Pelodiscus sinensis: one gene and its partners. The protein of the gene in region 2 interacts with the protein of the main gene of each other region in a pairwise test. Links are inferred from orthologs where the notes say so. Each region holds a gene or a part of one and is shown on either strand. Other genes may lie near its edges.

What was found.
Region 1: the proteins of XIAP (region 2) and NEK6 interact in binary tests that used the Homo sapiens proteins (3 or more experiments, as listed by UniProt). The two-hybrid records come from large-scale screens. The link is inferred for Pelodiscus sinensis from reciprocal best matches to the Homo sapiens genes XIAP and NEK6.
Region 3: the proteins of XIAP (region 2) and CASP10 interact in binary tests that used the Homo sapiens proteins (3 or more experiments, as listed by UniProt). The two-hybrid records come from large-scale screens. The link is inferred for Pelodiscus sinensis from reciprocal best matches to the Homo sapiens genes XIAP and CASP10.

What each region holds. Positions count from the first base shown.
Region 1 is NC_134732.1:24,211,878-24,219,018, reverse strand, and holds the start of NEK6 (serine/threonine-protein kinase Nek6), read right to left. Parts: upstream 3,111-7,141; 5' UTR 2,952-3,110; intron 1-2,951. UniProt on the Homo sapiens protein: Protein kinase which plays an important role in mitotic cell cycle progression. Required for chromosome segregation at metaphase-anaphase transition, robust mitotic spindle formation and cytokinesis.
Region 2 is NC_134723.1:32,365,837-32,372,994, forward strand, and holds the start of XIAP (E3 ubiquitin-protein ligase XIAP), read right to left. Parts: upstream 3,060-7,158; 5' UTR 2,939-3,059; intron 2,039-2,938; exon of another isoform or gene 1,939-2,038; intron 1-1,938.
Region 3 is NC_134717.1:56,863,222-56,870,678, reverse strand, and holds the start of CASP10 (caspase-10), read right to left. Parts: upstream 3,111-7,457; 5' UTR 2,699-3,110; intron 1-2,698. UniProt on the Homo sapiens protein: Involved in the activation cascade of caspases responsible for apoptosis execution. Recruited to both Fas- and TNFR-1 receptors in a FADD dependent manner. May participate in the granzyme B apoptotic pathways.

The DNA of each region.
Region 1 (7,141 bases), on a different chromosome or scaffold from region 2:
ATGGCTTTTGGGTCTTAAAATGTACTGATTTTATTCCAGATACTATACCATTTAAGAATAACAGAAAAAAAAGCACTCTAAGACTAGCTAGGCACCTCTCCCTTAAAATGTTCAGCAGAATGTTAAAACCCAATAACAGAAGAGTCCCCAAATGGAAAATGTCTGATGGTAGAGAGGTTCTCAGAGTAGAGTCCATACACTAACTAGTAATTGCAGAGCTCCGTGCATGGCCCATGAAACCACAGAAGAGAATAAAGTAGAGAAGGTAAGAGATTTTAGAGCAGTGGCTTTCAATATTTCCAGATTACTGTACTTCTTTCTAAAGTCTGATATGTCTTGTGTATCCCATTGCACCTTACTTTAAAACTTACAAAATCAAATATAACTGATAAGTGACACAGAACACTATTACTGAAAAATGGCTTACTTTCTCATTACCACTATACTGTTATAAAATAAATCAACTGAAATATAAATATTGTACTTACATTTCAGTGTATAGTATACAGAGCAGTATAAACAAATCATTGTCTATGAAATTTTAGTTTGTACAGACTTCACTACTGCTTTTTATGTAGCCCACTAAACTATTCAAATATCTAGATGAGTTGATGTTCCCCCAGAAAACCCCAGAGTACTCCCTTTAAATCAATGTTTTAGAAGATGGTTGAGAACATATTCCATGAGGTGATTTGGCTCTTCCAGAACAGAACAGAAATATACGGAAACCGCTGGCTAAAGTATGTGTGTCAGACAGCACCACCATCTCTAATGTTTTTTTAAAAAAGCAACCTGACACCAACCCACATAAAACCACACAAATAGCCCTATTTTTAGAGAAATTTTAACTTTGCTTACCTCCTGAAACAATGTTGCCTGCTAACACCCTTCATAACAGCACTTATATATCAACAAACCTCCATTAAAGAAGAACATACTGCATTTTAGTGTTATTTCAATCTATCCTCAAATTCATCCAGATAAGTGTTAGTCTCAAAACTCAAGAGTTGCAATACATTTGGGAAGTCACATTACCAAAGGAAGCCATGGCACTACCACTCAACACTTCTCCAACTCCTTTAATTACTTATCTCCTCCTGTCTGCCTTCCTATTTACATTGTTTCTTTCCCCTCCATTAAGACTGATGTCCATGTGATCCCAGTACACTAGCAAAGCGTTTTTCAACTTTTTTTTTGTGAAGTACCTCTTTTCCAAAAAAAGTACCCCCTTTTAAAAAAAATTATAAGTACCCCCAGTACCTACAGTTTTCAGACACACACAAAAATTTTCTACCATTGCAACACATTCGTTTAAACATCTTAATAGTAGCTGGGCGGGCAATTAAATTTTTGGGTGTAAAAAGTATAAAAATAATAAAGCGCTGTAAAACTTAAAACAAAAATTCCATTTTCTCCAAATTTCAGTTGTGTTGACGTACTTCCTCCCCTCCCCGACTTCTCTTGAGTACCCCTAAGGGTACTCGTGCCATTGATTGAGAAACACCGCACTAGCACATTACTTTGTGACACTTATTCCTGACAGCGAGTTCTAGTCTGTTAGGGTTAGTCTACACAGCACCCTAAATTCAAAATAAGACACGCAAATTGCATATCTTATTTCAAATCTTTTTTGAAATAGTTTCTTTTGAAATTTGGTGTGTCTACACAGCACCAAATTTCGAAATAACATTCCATTTCAAGCCATCTCTTATCCCTTGTGCAACATGGTTTACCGGGATGACAAAATAGTATGCCTGTTATTTTGAAAAATATTTCAAAATAATGGGCAGCTTGTGTTGATGTGGGGTTGCTACTTCGGGATACCTCTGGTATCCCAAAATAGCCGTGCAGTGTAGACGTACCCGTTTGGACTAGTCCCCCAGAGGAAGTGATGGACACCCTATTTGTCTGGAACATTTAAAATGAACAAAGGACAAGAATGTCCATTAGGAAACAATCCTGCATTAGCTCTGGAGAGGGTGGGAAGAAATAATATGTCCTAATAGGACTTTTCCCTGTCTCACTCTATGAGTATAAAAGTGACATGGAAAGTCCTTTTATCCTAAAGACACACAAAACCCCTGTGCGGATAGCACACGAAGTGGCCACCAAAGGAAACTTAGGCAAGCAAGTTTAGGCAGCAGCAAAGGCTCCAGCACACCATTCCTGAGCCAGCCCCTAACCTGGCCATTACATACATTCAAAAAGTGACAGAACGAAGACAGGTGTCCCAAGAGAAGAGAGCAAGTCGCATCTGCCTGCGAGATGGACCTTCCCCCTGGCCCCGGCTGAACAGCAGCAAGCCCAAGAGCCACTGAGACAGGAATCTTCCTCAAAGCCCTGCACATCAGTGGCCACCCCGGGCCCCCTCCCACTACAAGCCTTGCCCAGCCCCTGCAGGTCAATGGCCACCCCCCCCCCGTACCACAGGCCTTGCCCAGCCCCTGTGCCCCCCCAGCCAGCTCCTGTGCCCCCCCGTCCCACAGGCCTTGCCCTGCCCCTGTGCCCCCCCAGCCAGCCCCTGTGCCCCCCGTCCCACAGCCCCCCCCCCCGCCAGCCCGTGCCCCCCCATACCACAGGCCTTGCCCTGCCCCTGTGCCCCCCCAGCCAGCCCCTGTGCCCCCCGTCCCACAGCCCCCCCCCCCGCCAGCCCGTGCCCCCCCATACCACAGGCCTTGCCCTGCCCCTGTGCCCCCCCAGCCAGCTCCTGTGCCCCCCCGTCCCACAGCCCCCCCCGCCAGCCCCTGTGCCCCCCCGCCCCACAGCCCCCCCCCGCCAGCTCCTGTGCCCCCCCGTACCACAGGCCTTGCCCTGCCCCTGTGCCCCCCCAGCCAGCCCCTGTGCCCCCCCGTCCCACAGGCCTTGCCCAGCCCCCGCAGGTCCGTGCCCCCCCCGGTGTCCGTAGCCCGGCCCGTTCCCGCGCTGCTCGCGGGGGGAGGGGGGGCTCTTACCTGCCGCCGGGCGCGAGTCCCGGGGCCCCCGCTCCACGCTCCGCCGCGGCGAGTCCCAGCCACAACTTCGCCGCGCGCTCCCGACGCCCCCGCCCGGGCCCGCGCCTGTTGCTCGGCTCCCCCGCCGCGCGGGCGCGCGCCGCCCCAGCTGCCACGCAGGCCCTGCCGCCCGGGAGCGCGCGCGCCGCCGCCGGGGCCCCGCAGGCGAGGGGGCGGGGCGGGGCCGAGGGGCGCGCGCGCTGCTCCCCCCCCCACCCCCCAGCCCGCGCGCTCCGGGAGGGGCGCTTGCGGGGGGCGGGGCCCGAGCGCGGGGGTGCAATGGGGGGGGCAGCTCCGGGCTGCTCTGTTTGTGCAGCGCCGGGCACCCCCGGGGCAGTGGAGCCCCCCCCCGTGGGCGCGAGCGGGTCCCTGGTCTGCCCCAGGGAGGGGCATTTACCCGCCCGGCCCCGGCTGGGGGGTGCAGCTCGTGGGGTTCGCCCCCGAAACTCACCGGCCCGGGCTGGGGGGCAATGCCCCCCCCTCCCCCGGAGTCACTGGTGCACGCGGGCCCCTCGCCCTGGGTTCACTCACACGTGGCTGCCCCCCCCCTTGCTACCCTCCCCCTCAACCTGCGTGGGGGGCAGGAAGCGAGCGGGCGGAGATGAGTTGTCACCGGGGCAAAGGGCTATATTTAGAATTGCTTTCCTCGCCCCGTGCAGTGTTGGGGGGTGTGGTGCATGCACAGCATGCTCACAGAAGAGAACATGAGCTGCCCGCTCCTTCCACACACCTGCACTGAATAGTATGGAAAAGGTAACTAAGCCCACTGAAATCAGTTGAATTACTTTTACAACCCTAGTTTTTCTGTCGTAAATTCTGGGTTTCTGTTCTCCCTCCTCCAGCTCATCCGATGAAGTGGGTTTTGCCCACAAAAGCTCATGGTGCAATATATATATATTTGTTAGTCTGTAAGGCTAGCTCTGCACTACAGCTTTTTTTTCAGAAAAAAAAAAAAAAGCTCTTTTGGAAGAGGCTTTTCTGAAATTTGGCTCATCTACACTGGGCCAAATTTCAGAAAATCCCCCTCTTTCAGAAGATCCTTTCTTCCTCATGAAATGAAGACAGGGCTTCTAAAAGAGCGCATTTGCACTTCCGGAAAAAAAAGTGGGAGAGCAAACATGTTCCCTGGATACAGCAGAGTTTTTCCGGGATACCTCTGATATCCCAGAAAAACCCTGCAGTATACACATATTCTAAGGTACCACAAGACTACTCATTGCTTTTAAAGCTACATATAAGCAGGGCTACCCTCTGAGTAGATAGCCAGTGAATAAGTAGGATTGGGTTCTTAGTGCAAGACTAAAATTTAGGCTTTGCTAGAATTCAATAGGACTTTTCAAAACACAAAAGGAATAGAAATATTTCCATAAAATTTTCAATTTTAAAATAAAATGCTATTTTGTGGTAAAGGGTAGATTTAAATATTTCTCTGCTGTATTTTACAACTAAATATGATAGAGGGTTCTTTTTATTAGTGAAAGAGAATCCAAAGGTGAAATTAACTTATAAATAGAAGGGAAATTAACTACTTTGATTTCTCTATCAAAGCTGGGTGAGAAGCATGAACAAACAGTTTATATGGTGAAAAATACATTTTGTTTATAAAATTACGTTCTTGTAATTTAAAGTGTAGTCTACACTCAAAAAGGTTTGCAGGTAGCTACACGGGTACAGTCTGGACCTCTAAAATCCGGGACTCTCTGGTCCAGCAGGACGACGAATGTTGTTGGACCAGAGAGCCCTAGCTGTCCAGGTTAAAGCACAGCCAGGGCAGGGCTGGCGATGGGGAGCTCAGCCCCAGCGGGTACAGCGCGGTGAAGAGCACAACCCTGGCCAGGGCTGGCAGCAAGGACTGCAGCCCCAGTCAGGACTGGAGGTAGTAGGGCCGGGGGTCAGGACCACAGCCTTTGCCAGGACTGGTCCAATGCAGGATCACAGTCCCGGCCGGGGCTGGAGTCCACTAGGAGTGCAGCCCAGGCTGGCACTGGGAGAACAGGGTGAACAGCACTTGCTGGGGTTGGGGGTAATGGGGCTAGCCCCTGTCCTGGGGACGCAGCCTCGGGCAGGACTGGCACAGAGTGGAGCTGGAGGCAGTGACAGGGAGCGCAGCCCCAACTGGGAACAGAGCCTTGACCTCCCATTGTCCGGCAAACTCCATTGTTCAGGACCCCTCAGGTCCAGAGGGTGCTGGACAAGGGAGGTCCGACCTGTATATTCATATGAGAACCTTCCTAGGTTACACGCATTCAGCTTACGCAGGCAAAACAAAGTCCTTTTGTTAGTATAGATTATGCAAGTTTGATATGCAAAGTAAGCTATACTAGCAAAAGCACTTTTAGTCCAGTAAAGCTACATCTATGCTAGGGCTTTTGCAGGTGTAGAAATGATGCAGTGCAATCCTACCCCTAAACCAAATTGCAATACCACCAAAAGTTTCTAGTTGTAAACTTGGCCTGAGATGTTAGATGGTCCATTATTCTTTGCAAATAAATCTCAGACCTAATAGATTTGTTACTCCAAACATGTCTTGCAGTATATCTATCCATAAAAAGTAATATGTGTAAGGCATCTGCATAAAGCGTATGACTATCAAGATACAATCATCGTGAGATGTATGTACCAGGAATAATGCCTAGAAACAGTGTAACTAGATGGGAAGTATGCTTTATGGACTTGGAGTAGAAGTCTGTGACCAGAAGATAAGTCTTGGTGCTGGCTGATTCCACAAGGAGGGAAGCTATCATCCTGCCACGTTTAGCCAGTGAGGTAATGCAAGGCTCAGTTGTCTGGCCTTATTTCTTCCCAAGACTATCAATGGAATATCATCAGTGACTGCAAACAATCCAAACCACTTGGAGGTAAAAAAGGAACATTACAGCAGACCAGTTTGTCCTGTCTATAAATAAAGATAAAAGACTTTCCTTATAACAGAGGAGGGGGGGAACATATGCAACCTTTCACTGAGGATGCATCCTGGTTCTCCTGAAAAATTGGATCCTGCTTCCAGCCAGCCAGGTCTGCAACAGGCTGAACTTTGGGGGAAGCCTACTTCATGAGGTAAGAAGGTAACTTCATAAGGATAGACCCAGGTTTGTGTTTTATGATCCGTGCTATAAATGCTTTTCTACACCCCTCTCCCCGCTTCTAGTTAATTCTCCATTTTTTTTCACTAAAAAAAGGTAAGTTGATGTATAAGCACTCACAGTTAACACGAGCAGTGATTTAACACAAAACTACTAAACTGGGTCACACTGTTTCTTGGAGGAGGGGGCAAAAGTTTGGGTATTTCTGTGAGTAACCAGTGGCAGGGGCTGGATATCACAGAGGAATGATTGAAAGAGACAGAAACTGAGGTTCACCAGTTCAAAGACAAGACTGGTGTAGCCCACAGGCAAATGCTTACGTGACAAACAAGTTGGCAGTGTCAGGGAGCTAACACCAAGTTGCAACAAAGCAAGACACTCACACCTGAGGCAGGGCATAAGAGAATGACTTACTGAACAGGTTACGCCAAGAGACGTCACAGATGGCATTATGCTTTCTATACGTGTCTCTCTCAGCTAGGATTTTTCAGCTTCCCCACAATACCCACACCTGTTTGATTTCAACACATCTTCCTCCAGTGTATCTCTAATGGTGAAATTCAGGCTCGGGGTAACTTTGAAGCAATCCTTTGATTCTGAAGAGCATTGTTTGAGGCTTGGCTGTAACTATCCAGCTCTAAGGGGTAGTTTTAAAGTTCTTGAGTTCTCATCTTTGACTTCCACTCCCTAATGGCTCCTAAAAGAGGGATTTCTCATCCTAAGGTGGTGGTACCCTGCATGTGGATTTGCATGGCCTGACATAATTCTATCTTTTGACTAGTGTGTGGGCTCTGGAGTGTGTGTGTGGGGGGGGGGGGTTAGGGCTGGGGCAAGGGATTGGGGTGCCAGGTTGGGCATGGACTCACCCCCAGCAACTGTCAGTCAGCAGAGCAGCGGGGAGTCTAAGCCAGGCTTCCCGCCTTCCCTGGTGCCTTAGACCATCCTGTGCCCCGGTAGCAGCCACTAGCAGATCTGAGTCCTAAGCTGAGGTGCGCAAGTGGCTCAGCGTGCCGCTCTCACTCATAGGCACTGTCCTCCCCAGCTCCCAGTGGCTGGTTCCTGGCCAGT
Region 2 (7,158 bases):
GTACAGTTTAAGCAGAAGAAGCCTTATGGTTTTTATAAGCATCATGGTATCTAGTACAATAGTTCTCAACCTTTCTGGGCTCAGGACCAATTTGCTCCAGATGCTCCAGTTAGATTCGAATGGTTAGGGAAACTCCAAACCAGCAACTGGGAGGAGAGGAGAGGATGGATGATGAGCTGAACCTCCCCAAAAAAATCATAGCCCCTAACTAGTGTTCCTTCTGGTTCCCTCAGCTTCACAGTTGATTAATCAGCCCCACCCAGTCAGAGGCTCAGGGCTGCCTGCATAGAGCTGACTGGGCGGGGATGTGAAGCTGTGCTGCAACGCAGCTTAGAGAGAACACTGCCCCCAACTCAACCAATGGAGAGGCTAAGGATAGGGAGAATTTGTAGGTGGCTGGAGAAGGAACTGGGGGCAAAGTAGTGATGTAAAATGTTAACCGGTCACCCGGTAAGCAGTTGGCTTACTGGAATGCATACTGGGTACCGATTAACTGGACTACCAGCCCTGTTGGCTGGCCGTTGGAACAGGCCAAGTTAAGGGGACACAAGCACTGGTTACGCTGCAGCGCCCCATCCGCACCTTGTGGGGGCAGGAGGAAACTTTGCCCACGTCACAGTAGCGCTGGAGGAACGCACCCATGCCATGGCAGCCATGGCCCGGAGCTTCTCTGCATAGCCCTGGATGTGGCCCCACTATGCCCGGTAAGACCCTCCCACCATAGTTGCTTTGCGCTCAACAATGGTTAACCAGCTAAAGAATGTAATTTTAATTGCTTAACTGGTTAACTATTTTGATCGGTACTTACATCCCAAGGGCAAAGGAGTTTGAGGTTTCAGTGGGAAGGATATGGAACATAGAAGTTTAGGGGAGAGACGGCAAGCTGACAGCTCCCAAAAAAACCACACAGCCTCTACACACAGAGGCTAAGTGGGGTGAAGAGGGAAGTTCAGGAGTCGGGGTCCATGACAGGAGGTAAGACAGTAGGAGAATCTCATAGTTGTGGGAGAAGAGTACATGACAGAGGGGTAACTGAGCCAAACCACAGTGACACTGCTAGCCTATGAGCCGGGTTACAAAGCCTGAAACGGGAAGCCACGTCTAGCCAGCCCTGGTCTTGCTTGGATGGTGATATACCTTTGAGTTGCAAGCCACATATTGAGAAACTCTGGTCTTATAGACACCATAACAGTCTGTAACCTCAGCCAACACAATCTATTCCCAGTTCTGTTAACCTTCAAGAAGTCACAAACTCTATCCACAAATCACCCCTTAGGCTAAATGTATTTTGTTGATGAATGCAACAGGAAAGGTCACTAACAGATCCTGGAATTTCCCTTCACTTTTGAAAATGAGTAATATTTTCCATCCCCATGTTTTTGCCTCCCATCCAATGTTCCCTCATCTTTTTCATCTATGTGAGGATTTTTTCCAGCCTTATACTGTATAGAAAAAAAAAATTGCATCAAGGCACATGTGAACATGCATCACCAGTAAATGAACAGGAAAAAAAGCCTAGCTGTGGGCATTCAGCTAATCAGCTAGGTGGCATTTCAATCTCTCCTCAGTGGCCACATTAGCTTCACTGACAAAATCAAATCCAGATATAAAATAACTTTCTTAAAACATTTTACTGTACTTGGTTCTATAAATGGCTTCTTGAAGGAGTCAGCATAAAGATATATGTACTTCAAATGCTATAGTGCAACAAGTTTGTTAGATGAATGGAGAGGAACAAATATATTGAAAATGTTTTAAAGGTTATTCCCAGGGTGGATAAAAATCAATAATTTATTAAATAAAAAAAAAGTTTTAAATTTAAACTGGATTTGATTTAAATCACATCTTCTATTTTTAAACCAATAAAATACTGACTCTCTCTTTTAAAAACAAGTTACAATTAAATCTCATGACAAAACATGCTAAACATGCACTTACAGTCTCAGAAAATTGAATTAATGGCTCTAGTCCGTCCAGCTTAACTACTCATTCTGGCTTCTTGAAAGTTGTGGGCTTTCAATTTCTGTTTCTTGGCAGACTAAAAAGTAAAATGGGCAGAAGACAGACACATACTGGATAGGACTGTTTTTCTTCTGTGCTTATGTAGTGGTGGACCTTGGCCAACCACAGCAGAGGAGTTCGTTCAGACACTGTCTTAAAGCAGGGGTGAGGAACCTAGGGCCCGGGGACAGGTTCTAGTGGAATAAAGTGGGTTTAAATGCAAAGAACTTAAGAACTGTTTGAATTAAAGTTTGAGGCACATTTTGCAAATTGCAAAGATCTATATCCGTTGTACTCCATACGTGTGGACAAATGCCATTCATTACATTATATACCAGTTAATGCAGCAAAGCCGTAGGTGAGACACACGCCACAGTCGGAAATGGGGGAAGTAAAAGCGACTAAGCCTTAGCTAGGATGGGTCCACTTTCTCAAGGTAACAGGACGCCCGGAGGGCCACACGCAGAGTGTGAGGGGCTGCCCATGAATCAGGTCAAGCGCTGAGATCTGGGGGCCCTTTCAGTGAACACGCGTGTTTCCTTATTACGACACATTACAGGATGCGGGTGGATCTTGGAGGTAACCCCCCCAAAGGGGGATCTAAGCAATGAAAGCTGCGCTGGCAGCAGGTGAAATGAGAATCGCTGCCGCCTGCAGGGGGGAGCCCCTCTGACCGAGGGGAGGGGATCAGAGTCCGTGTCCCTCCCCCGGGCGGGCGCTGCTGAGGAGGGGCTGGGGAGCTCGGCGATGGGGGGGGGGGGAGAGTAACGCCCCCGCCTCTCCGCCGCCCAGGAGAAGGACGGTCCCGCCCGCCCCTGCTAATGCCCGAGAGGGGAGCCCAGAGACCCCCCCCGCTGCAGCCGGCCGGCCAGGCAGCCTCGTCCCCTGCCCTCAGGGCGAGCGAGCGGCAGCGGCCCGCGCCCGCGTTGTCACTCACCGCCCTGGCTCCGCGCCGTGGGCCCCGCGCGCCGGAGGAAGCCCGCGAGAAGATGGCGCTCGCAGCCTCCTGTCCGCCGGCGGCCGAGGGCGGACGCTGGGTCCCGTTGGCGGCGGCGACACCTAGCGGCGGGAAGGGCCGCGCAGGTCCCTGGAGGTGGGGGCGGGATCAGGTGAGGGCCTGGCCCAGGCGCGCGCTAGGCTGGAGGCTCTGTGCGCAGCTCTCGGGGAACTGGCAGCTCCTTCTGCTCTGCCCTGTCCCGGGCCAAGCCCCTGTCCCTCCGCAGGGCAGTGGGACCACAGAAGAGGAGGGTTACCACCACCTGGCAGGTATCTGGCTCCACTGGCTGTTTTGGGGGTAATGTTTTAAGGATTTGCATTTGGCAGTTGCCAAAAAACAAACACCCTCCCCCCCCCCCCACTAATTTAAGCGGCAGGGTTTGGGGTTTTTTACATGGGGGCTAAAGAGTCGCATTTTTTGCACTACATGGGATCTCTTAGATTAATAGTTTCTGGGGCCAGCGAAAGATGCTACTGTGTTCTCACTTCTGCAATTTAACAAGCGGCAACAGATCAAAATTGTTGGTAATACAGCAGCTGTGTGCCCACCAACACTGCAAGTGTAAGGCCCATGTGGGAGAGGGTTTGAGTCATGCAAGAGTGAGGAGACATGCAAGGTTATCAATCTTAGGTATATGCAGAGGTGAAAGTAAGCCAGTACATAAGAGAGTGGCCAGCTGGGGATAGGGCTCTGGATGTTGCCAGCTACTCTGCATGGGTAAGATTCTGGTACTGGGCATGGTTGGCCCACTTCTCCCATTCTGACCTTCATCCCTCATAGCCAGAGAGCCAGAGTCCAAACCACTTCCACACATCCTCTCCACCCTTGTTCGCAACACCAAACAGCTGGGGATGGGGAGAGAGGGCCCCTGCCCTGATGGGCCCAAATCAGTACTCGCAGCTCCAGGACAGCACAGTCACAGTGCACTCAAGCTCCAGCCCCAAATTTCCATTCCCTGCCTTCATCTTGCACCTTTTCCCTTACAGATCTTCCCCACTGTTGGCACAAGAACCTTCTCTGCAGCCTCTGCCATTGAGAACAGTTTCTCACCACAGCTCCTGCCTTCCAATCTCATCTGAAAACATCTCTGCCCTCACTTTCTCTCTCCCTCCACTTATTTAAATTATAGCATTGCATCCTCTTAATTTCATTATCTAAAGAATCTGGGGATACAGAATACAGAGGCAGAGTGCTCTCCCTAATAAAGTTGATGTGTGGTACAATATTAGGGTCTGCCTGATCCCCCAAACCATTACTACCATGTGTCATCTTCACTCCCCATGATTACTCCTGTATGAGTAATGATTAGGGTATAGGGACCTTAGTTCCACTTTTGATAGACCAATATCTAGAGATCCTTTAACAAAAGGTGTGATAGTAGCACAAACAGTTATGTTACGTATTTATTATGAAATTCTTAACCCTGTCTTAACCTGACTCAAGGGTTTTGCAAAAATCAGTGTGCTAGTAGAAGATGGTCTTTAATACAAAGTCAGATAAAATTATTCTGGAAACACCTCTTTGGTGGTCACTGAACACATGAGGTTGACTATTGGAGGCGGTTCTTAGTGCAGTTTTGACTGTATTACCATCAATTTTCTCTATCTCTAATACAAGATTCTTGTGATTACTGTAGGCAGAGATGGTACACCATATACAGTAAAACTCCAATAGTCCGGCATCCAATTGTACGGCACTCCCGATAGTCCGGCATCAAAATGGCAAGAGCCTAATGAGTGAGCTTCAGCAAAAACAGAGTTACAAGGCAGCAGCGGCAGCAGCTAAACTGAGCGAAACTGGATGCGACTGAGTCAGTCTGCCACTGGCATTGTGTGACGCTGGACAGTGCTTGTGCTACAATAAAAAGAGTTAAAAACACTTTATATACAGTATATGACACATGTTAGGAGAGGGGATGAGGAGGGGTAGCTCACTTGATGAGTGGGGCTACTGGAGGAGTGGTCACAGGGGGGAGAGAAGGGCTGGGGGAGGGGGGCAGGTCTCAGGAGGGCTGAGGGCAGTGAGAAGGACAGGAGTCAGGACAGCAGAGGAGGGTAAGGGGTTGGGGGGCAGGAGGCATCAGGGGAGCTGATGGAGCAAGGGGAGGAGACATGGCAGCAGAGGGAAAAGGTAGACGTTTATAAGATATTTATTAATAACTTGGGTGATATTTATTAAGAACGTATTAGTAATTACTGTTCTTATTCTTATTAGGAATTTATGCCATAAAAAAAACACTTTTTTTTGGGCGGGGGGGAGGGTGGCGAGTCCCTTTTTTGTCTGGCGAGTAGGGTTTTCCATAATTTGTCGAGCCCTGTATATATATATATATATATATATATACACACACACACACACACACACACACACAGGCAGTCTCCGACTTACGCGGATCCGACTTATGTCGGATCCGCACTTACGAACAGGGCTTTTCTCGCCCCGCACTTATGAACGGGGCTTCTCCCGGTCTCCGTGGTCTTCTGGGGGGGTCCAGCAAAGCCGCTGGACCCCCCCAGCAGACCAGGGACACCCGAGCAAAGCCGCCGCCTGGCTTTGCTCATTTGCCCGGGAGTAAAGCCGCCCAGGCAGCGAGACTGCAGGCCAGGGAGAAGGGGAGCAAAGCAGAGCAAAGCCGCGGAGCACACGGGCAGCGGACAGCCCAGACGCATCTGGGCTGTCTGCTGCCCGCGTGTTCCGCCGCTTTGCTCCCCATCCCCCTGGTCTGCAGACCAGGGAGACGGGGAGCAAAGCAGAGCAAAGCCAAGGAGCCCGAGGGCAGCAGGACAGCCACGGCGCGTCTGGGCTGTCCCGCTGCCCCCGTGCTCCATGGCTTTGCTCCGAACGCCTGTGGTACAGCAGCTGGGGCGCTGGCAGTTGGTCCCGTAGCGCCGCTCTGGGCGCTACTGGACCAACCCGGCAGCACCCCAGCTGCTCTGCCCCAGGCGTCCTGATTCAGCCACTGCTGGTCAGTTTCAGCAGCGGCTGAATCAGGACGCCTGGGGCAGAGCAGCTTGGGTGCTGCTGGGTTGGTCCAGTAGCGCCGAGGAACGGCGGTGCTACTGGACCAACCCAGCAGTTCCCCAGCTGCTCTGCCCCAGGCGTCCCCAAGTCAGCCGCTGCTGAAACTGACCAGCGGCTGACTACGGGAAGCCCCTGCCCCGGGCTTCCTGGAATCAGCCGCTGATCAGTTTCAGCAGCAGCTGACTTGGGGATGCCTGGGGTTCTTAAATTGAATCTGTATGTAAGTCAGAACTGGCATCCAGATTCAGCCACTGTTGAAACTGATCAGTTTCAGCAGCGGCTGAATCTGGACGCCAGTTCCGACTTACATACAGATTCAACTTAAGAAGAAACCTACAGTCCCTATCTTGTACGTAACCCGGGGACTGCCTGTATATATATAAAAAACAAGCTTATAGTACCCCCTGATAGTCTGGCATATCTGATAATCTGGCACCACCTCGGTCCCAAAGGTTCTGGATTATCAGAAGTTTGCTGTATTATTAAAGCTGCCTGAAAATTCCTGTTATAAGACCCTGTTTTCCAATGGAGCTGGAACAATTTATATAGGTGGGATACTGAAGACCATTTAACCAATCTGATGGAAATGGCTTCAAACCAGGGGTGCAGCACCACCCCTAATTCCAACCCCTATCCTGTTTTCAGTTGTTTAAAACTCTGCCAAGTTTTAACTATTAGGGCTGAACATTTTAAAGATAGGTATGTATCTCAAACTGTATTATTCTGGAAAGTTTCAGCCAAAACAATTTAGGACTTTCCTGAGAAAGAGCCTATGGAAAACTGTAGGGGAGCCTGGACTACCCTGCCTTGGCAATAAATGGTGATGTCTACTTTGTCCAAAATGCGGATTTCTGGCCTGTTTCCATTCTGGTGCGCCAAAGCACGCAGGCAGGGCCTGAGAGTCAGGAATTGTTTTGCATAACAATGCAGATTAAGCATGGTATGCAAGACAACGTCAAGAACACAGGACAAGCAGCCTTGTACTGTTGCTTGTTTCTGATAAAGTAAAAAGTACAGATGCAGCCATAAAACTGTCAACTAAGCACATAGCAGCAACATCCTGAGTAGCAGGATGTACCCCAAATAGAGGCATTGGGCATTTTACGTATCTTACACAATACTTAATCAATTTGTAAATA
Region 3 (7,457 bases), on a different chromosome or scaffold from region 2:
AGCCCAGGATCAGCTGGGGAGGCCCAGCTGATCCAGGGCTCTGCGTGGCAGTGGAACTCCCCAGCTGACCCCGGGTTCTGGGGAAATGCCATGCAGAGCCCGGAATCAACTGGGGAGTCCCCAGCTGACACCAGGATCCACTGCTGCCCCTTTGAAATGTGCGGAGATGGCATTTTAAAGGGGCAGCCACTGCACAGCTGATGCGCGGATCAGCAGTGCAGCGGCTGCTCCTTTGAAACGCCACCTTAGGGTACTTTGAAGTACCCCTTCCCCCTCCCTTTGCTGCCTCTATCTCAGAGGCAGAGGAGGGAGGGGAGGAGGAAATCAACTAGTAATTTAGTCAAAAGACTATCCGATAAGCATTTGCTTATCAGATCATCGACTAATCTTTAACATCCCTAGTTCTTACACTGTGGATTTGTGCTTCCAGAGATAACATGGTTGTTAACAGCAAAAATGTTTTAAAATGAGTAATATATAGAGATGAGAAACAACAGACCTGAATCCTATTGTCCTTTTGCAAATATGAGTACACAGAATCAGTCCCTTACCTCCCTCTCAAAAAGTGGAAAATTTTAAAAAGTTCAATGAAGGTAGGTGTTCATGCTAAATGCAAACAGTGCAACAAAGAAATGAAAAGCCTGGGGGCCCAAATAAAACATCATCATGAGAAGTTCCTTGTCAGGAGGAAGCTGTGTTGAAGATGATGAAAGGAAAATGTCTGAACATGCAGGATCTTCAGGTTGGTAAACTTTTATTTCATAAGCAACAAGGAGTCCTGTGGCACCTTACAGACTAACAGATTTATTGGAGCATAAGCTTTCGTGGGCAAAGACCCACTTCATCAGATGCATCTTCTGTCCTTGTGCCACTAGAACAAGGCAATTTTTCCATTTAATCTGTTCACATTCAGTGTCCCACAACCTTCAAAGAGACATGTAACCAATAATACTATTTCAATTAAGTTTCATCAAAAATGTTAATATTCCCTTCTGATCTTGAGTCAAAGTAGCAGAGAAGGGCTGTTTGTTCCCATCATCAGACCTAAGCACACCTACCACTCCACCGATCTCAAAATGCTAGTTGGCATTTCCAAGTTCTAGTCTAACAATCCACGTAGCTTCAGGGGGTAGCCAAGTTAGTCTGTTACACGAAAAAAAACAACAAATGGTCTGGTAGCACTTTGTTTTGTTAGTCTATAAAGTGCTACCAGACCATTTGTTGTTTTTTTTACCCTGCTTAGTATCTAACATCTCCATACGTGATTTTAAAGTTGGATGCTGGGTCTCCGGTTAGGAGCTGGTTCACCCTTCCTGGCCAAGTGCCACATTTTAATCAGAGAACTCATATTTCAGTCAGATAACATCCCAAGGAGCCAGGAAAGGGTGCTCATGGGAATGTTAAGGGCAGGGTGCCTGTTCCGATGCCAGCGGATTGTATAGACAGTGGGTGCTGGGTGCAGTGGGAGAAAGGGTGTTTGTGCAAGCTCTGAGTGTGGAGGGCTGGGTGTAAGATGTGAGAAGTTGTGCAGAAGTGGGGCTGCGGGTGGAAGGGGGCTGCAGGGAGTGGGGGCTGGGTGCCGTGAGTGGCAGTAAACTGGGGGGGCTGGGTGCTAGAAGTGGGGGAGCTGCATGGAGTGGGTGCTAGGTGCCAGGGGGAGGCAGGCTGCAGAGAGTGGGGGCTGGGGACAGTGCACTGGGAGGAGGGCTGGGTGCCGAGGGAGGGGGGCTGCAGGGAATGGGGGGGTCTGGGTGGCAGGTGCCAGAGAAGGTCTGCAAGGAGTGGGGGCTGAGGAGGGGACTGCCGGAAGGGCGGGTTGGGAGGGGGGGGGCTGCCGGAGGGCGCCGGGTGCCGGGTGGGCGGTACTGTCAGGAGTAGGGACTGGGGGCGGGAGGGGGGGGGAGCTGATACCGGAGGGGGAAAGCTGCCGGCAGTGGGCGCGAGGGGGCTAATACCAGGGGGAGCGGCTGCCGGCAGTAGGGGCCGGGGGGAGGCTAATACCGAGGGGGGGCTGCCGGCAGTGGGTGCGGAGGGGCTAATACCGGGGGGCAGCTAATACGGGGGGGGGCTGGCAGTGGAGGCGAGGGAACTAATACCAGGGGGGCTGCCGGTAGAGGGGGCGGGGCCTAATACCCGGGGGGGGGGGCTGCCAGCAGTGGGAGGGGCTAATACGGGGGGGGGAGGACTGGCAGTGGAGACGAGGGAACTAATACCGGGGGGGCTGCCAGTAGTGGGGGTGGGGGCCTAATACCGGGGGGAGGGCTGCCGGCAGTGGGGGTGGGGGGGCTAATATCGGGGGGGGCTGCCGGCAGTGGGGACGGAGGGGCTAATACCGGGGGGGGGCTGCCGGTAGTGGGGACGGAGGGGCTAATACCGGGGGGGGGGCTGCCGGCAGTGAGGGTGGAGGGGCTAATACCGAGGGGGGGGCTGCCGGCAGTGAGGGTGGAGGGGGGGCTAATACCGGGGGGGGGCTGCCGGCAGTGGAGGTGGTGGGGGGGCTAATACCGGGGGGGGGCTGCCGGCAGTGGGGGCGGAGGGGCTAATACCGGGGGGGGGGGGGCTGCCGGCAGTGGGGGCGGAGGGGGGGCTAATGCGGGGGGGGGGCTGCCGGCAGTGGGGGCGGAGGGGCTAATACCGGGGGGGGGCTGCCGGCAGTGGGGGCGGGGTGCTGGGGGGGGCTGGACGGGAAGCGCCTCACCCGGCAGCAGGCCGCGGCGCGCTGTGCGGCAGGCGCGGGGGTCTCACTCCGGTTCCGCTGCCGGCCTCTCGCAGCGCCGCCCCGCGTCTGAAGGGCGCACCGGGCCGCGGGCGGGGCTGGTGATCGCAGCCGCACGGGGCGCGTCTCCTCCCGCAGCAGGGTGGGGGTCTGCCTGGGGTCTGCGGGGGGCGGCGCCGGGGCAGGTCCAGCCCCCGGGATGGCCCCGCGCTCTCCCCTGGGGACTCGCTCACTTTTTGACTTTACACCGGCCGCGTTCCCAAGCCCCCGACTCTCAGACCAGGGTCCCGCCTGCAGGCACCGCGGCCGTGAAATGCCTCGTCACGGTGACTGTCCCGGCTCTGGCCTGGAGAAGGCTGCTCCCTTCTAGGAACTGGCTTCCCGGAGCGCTTTCCGATTGGTAGGCTAGCAGGGAGGGCTCCTGTAAGATATTGCTGCCAGCAGTAGCACAATCCTACAGGGCGGAGTTACACCAGTTCTTCTTCCAGTGCTTGCTCACATCCCTTCCACTTAGGTGCGCACCGAAAGTGCACAGATTGTCTGAGAGTTTCCTTAGCAGCACCTATGGAGTGGGTGTTTTCGAAGAGCTATCCCCAATACTCCAAGAGCTCTTTCTTGAGTGTTAACATTTCTCCTCTGAAACGTCCTCAAGAGCACAAAGGCTGTGTGACCAGGGATGGGACTCTTCTAGTGTGTCCTGGAAAGTCTCATCAATGTACCTCTCTGCCTTCATTAGCTCCTCCAATTCAGCCACCATGGTCTTCAAAGCCCATAGAAGGTCCCTGAGGGCCAGGAGCTTCTTGCACCTGCACTTGCACTTCTGCTGACGTGCACAGGCAGAAATTGTGGAAAAACAGCATCGCTTGCCTCATAATCTCAGTTGTGCAGACACGGCCGGCCCGAGCCCCTTTGGCACCCTGGGCCCAGGTGTGTGGCGCTGCCCCTGGGGCGCCGGCCACAGCCGCTGGCGCACAGTCCGGAACCTGCCCTTGGGGCACATGGCGCATGCGTGCACCAGCCATGGCCCCTGGCGCACAGCCCGGGGCTCACCCATGGGGCGCATGGCGCATGCGCTGCCCAGCCCAGCCCGGCCAGCGCTGCTAGCGCACACGCTGGGCCATGTATGGCCCCGCAGCCATAGGGGCAAGGGTGCTGTTGTCCGATGCTGTGGGGCTGGCACCGTGGGAGCCAGGTGCGCAGCTCCTGATGGCAGCTGTAAGAGAAGCCACGCACCCCTTACAGCTGCCATCAGGCACCCCCCCGTGGGTTGGCGCCCTGGGCAGCTGCCTGGCTTGCCCATGCCTCTGTCCAGCCCTGCGTGAAGAACGCAATGCCATCCACAGCCTCAGAAACAACTCTGACATTATAATCAAAGAGTGCTGTTGTCATCATGAACAGGTCTGACTTCCAAAAAGAGGCTGCCAGACAACTCTCCAATACCAAATTCTATAGGCCACTTTCCTCAAAGCCTACTAAGGAATGCACTAAGAAACTATACCATCTGCTCAGGACACTCCCTACACAAGCACAGGAACAAATCAACACACTCTTAGAACCCAGACCAGGGTTGTTCTATCTACTACCAAAGATCCACAAACCTGGAAATCCTGGATGCCCCATCATCTCGGGCATTGGCACTCTCACTGAAGGACTGTCTGGATATGTGGACTCTCTACTCAGATCCTATACCACCAGTACTCCCAGCTATCACTGATTTCCTGAGAAAACTACAATGCATTGGTGATCTTTCAGAAAACACCATCCTAGCCACCATGGATGTAGAGGCTCTCTCTACACAAATATCCCACACATAGATGGAATACAAGCTGTCAGGAACAGTATCCCTGATGATGCCACAGCACAACTGGTGGCTGAGCTCTGTGACTTTATCCTCACACACAACTATTTCAGATTCAGTGACATTATATACCTCCGTACCAGTGGCACTGCTATGGGCACCCGTATGGCCCCACAATATGCCAACATTTTTATGGCTGACCTGGAACAACACTTCCTTAGCTCTCATCCACTAACACTCCTTCTCTACCTACACTACATTGATGACATCTTCATCATCTGGACCCATGGGAAGGAGGCTCGAAGAATTCCACATCACCATCAACAGCTTCCACCTCACCATCAACCTTAGCCTGGACCAGTCTACACTGGTGGGAGGGATAGCTGAGTGGTTTGAGTATTGGCCTGTTAAACCCAGGGTTGTGAGCTCAATCCTTCAGGAGGTTCAAGGGATTGGTCCTGCCTAGAGCAGGAGGCTGGATTTGATGACATTCTGAGGTCTCTTCCAGCTCTATGAGGCCATTTGGGGCAAAAATTTGTCAGGGATGGTACTTGGTCCTGCTGTGAAGGCAGGGGACTGGCCTCAATGGCCTTTCAAGATACCTTCCAGTTCTAGAAGATAGGCAATCTCCATTAATTTACACAAGCGATCCACTTCCTGGACACCACGGTGCAAATAAGTGATGGTCACATAAACACCACTCTATACCGGAAACCTACCGACCTGGCTGTGCCTACCTTCATGCCTCCAGCTTCCATCCTGGCTCACCACACAATCCATTGTCTACAGCCAAGCACTAAGGTACAACCGCATCTTCTCCAACCCCTCAGACAGAGACCAACACCTACAAGATCTTCACCAAGCATTCTTGAAACTACAATACCTGCACGAGGAAGGGAAGAAACAGATTAACAGAACCAGACATGTACCCAGAAGCCTCCTACTACAAGACAAGCCCAAGAAAGAAACCAACAGAACACCACTGGCCATCACCTACAGTCTTCAGCTAAAACCTCTCCAACCCATCCTGGACAATGATCCCTCACTTTCACAGGCCTTGGGAGGCAGGCCAGTCCTTGCCCACAGACAACCCACCAACCTAAAGCAAATTCTCACCAGCAACTATACACTGCACCACAGTAACTCTAACTCAGGAACAAATCCATGCAACAAATCTTGGTGCCAACTCTTCCCACCTATCTACACCAACACCACCATCACAGGATCTAACCACGCCATCACTGGTTCATTCACCTGCACATCTACCAATATAATATACGCCATTGTATGCCAGCAATGCCCCTCTGCTATATACATCGGCCAAACTGGACAGTCCCTACGTAAAAGAATAAATGGACACAAATCAGGTATTAGGAATGGCAATATACAAAAACCTGTAGGAGAACACTTCAATCTCCCTGGACACACAGTAGCAGATTTAAAGGTAGCCATCCTGCAGCAAAAAAACTTCAAGACCAGACTTCAAAGAGAAACTGCTGAGCTACAATTCATCTGCAAATTTGACACCATCAGTTTAGGATTAAACGATGGCTTTGAAAGTACAAAAGCAGTTTCTCCTCTCTTGGTGTTCACACCTCCACATCAACTGCTAGAAGTGGGCCTTACCCTCCCTGACTGAATTTACCTCGTTATCTCTAGTCTTATTCGGGCCTGCATCTGATGAAGTGGGTCTTTGCCCACGAAAGCTTATGCTCCAATACATCTGTTAGTCTATAAGGTGCCACAGGACTCCTTGTCGCTTTTGCATATAGGGAAGATAACCATACATGCTATATTGGGTGCAATGAATAGGATAGCCTCCATTCTTGGTGATGGTCTTCTTCCTGCATTCTCTTTTTATCTCTATTGCTTGTTCTTTTCAACATTTTATTTTTTTTAATTCAGGCTGTTTTGTTTTCATTTTAAAGAACTTTAAAGACTTAAATATTTGGTACTCCACGAGGAGTAACGGTAGTTCGAACTAGGAAGCCTAGTCCGAACTACCTAGTTCGTGCCGTGTGTAGCTGCGCGGCACGGGGTTCCAACCAGCCAGGATTTAAAAATGGCGGCGCCCGGCTTATGCAAATGAAGCCTGGGAAATTCAAATCCCGGGCTTCATTTGCAAGTGCGGTATGCCTACATTACCCCGCTAGTTCGAATTAGGAGGGTAGTGTAGACATACCCTTAAGTATTAGTTACCTGGATAGTCGAGTAACTTCATGAATTCTTATAGGTTAGTCAACTAGTCTATAGTCCCGAAGGGGTGGGGCCAGCAGCCAGTGTGCTCTGGCTTCACTCCTGAGAAACCCCTGCCACTCTGTGCTGCTGCCTCTGTATCAGAGGCCGCAGTGCGGGGTGCCAGGTGGGGGCTGCTCCATGATGGGAGCTAGTTTAAAAATCAGCTCCCCTTGTGGACCAGCTGCCTGTCTCCCTCTCCTGCTGCCTCTTTATCAGAGGCAGCTTAGTGGGGTGGCAGCACCCCATCTGGGGTGTGTGTGTCTGAGCTCCTGTACCTGGTGCAATCTGGAACTGGGCTGAGTTTCCTGCCTTCCTGGCTCCTAAGACACTTCAAATGCAGAAACACAGTGGGGGTAGGTCCCAGACCCAGTGTGAAACAGGACTAAGCCAGGCTGCCTTCCCACCCAGCTTCTAATACACTTTAAATGCAGAGCTAAAAAATTTACTGGCAAGGTCGGGGGTGGAGAAATGTGTGTAGTCTATAGCATTAACCTATAAGCTTTTGCTTTTTGGTTAATCGACTACTTATTACGTCCCTAGTCTACACTGCATGCTTATTTCAAGATAAGCTATTCTGGAAGAAACATTCCAAAATAGTTTATTTCAAAACAGTGCATCTATACTATAGGGAAGCCTTGAAATTAGTCCAAGGCAGGCTCCCCTCATGTTGATGTACTATCTCTATTTAGAGCCCCATGAACCACT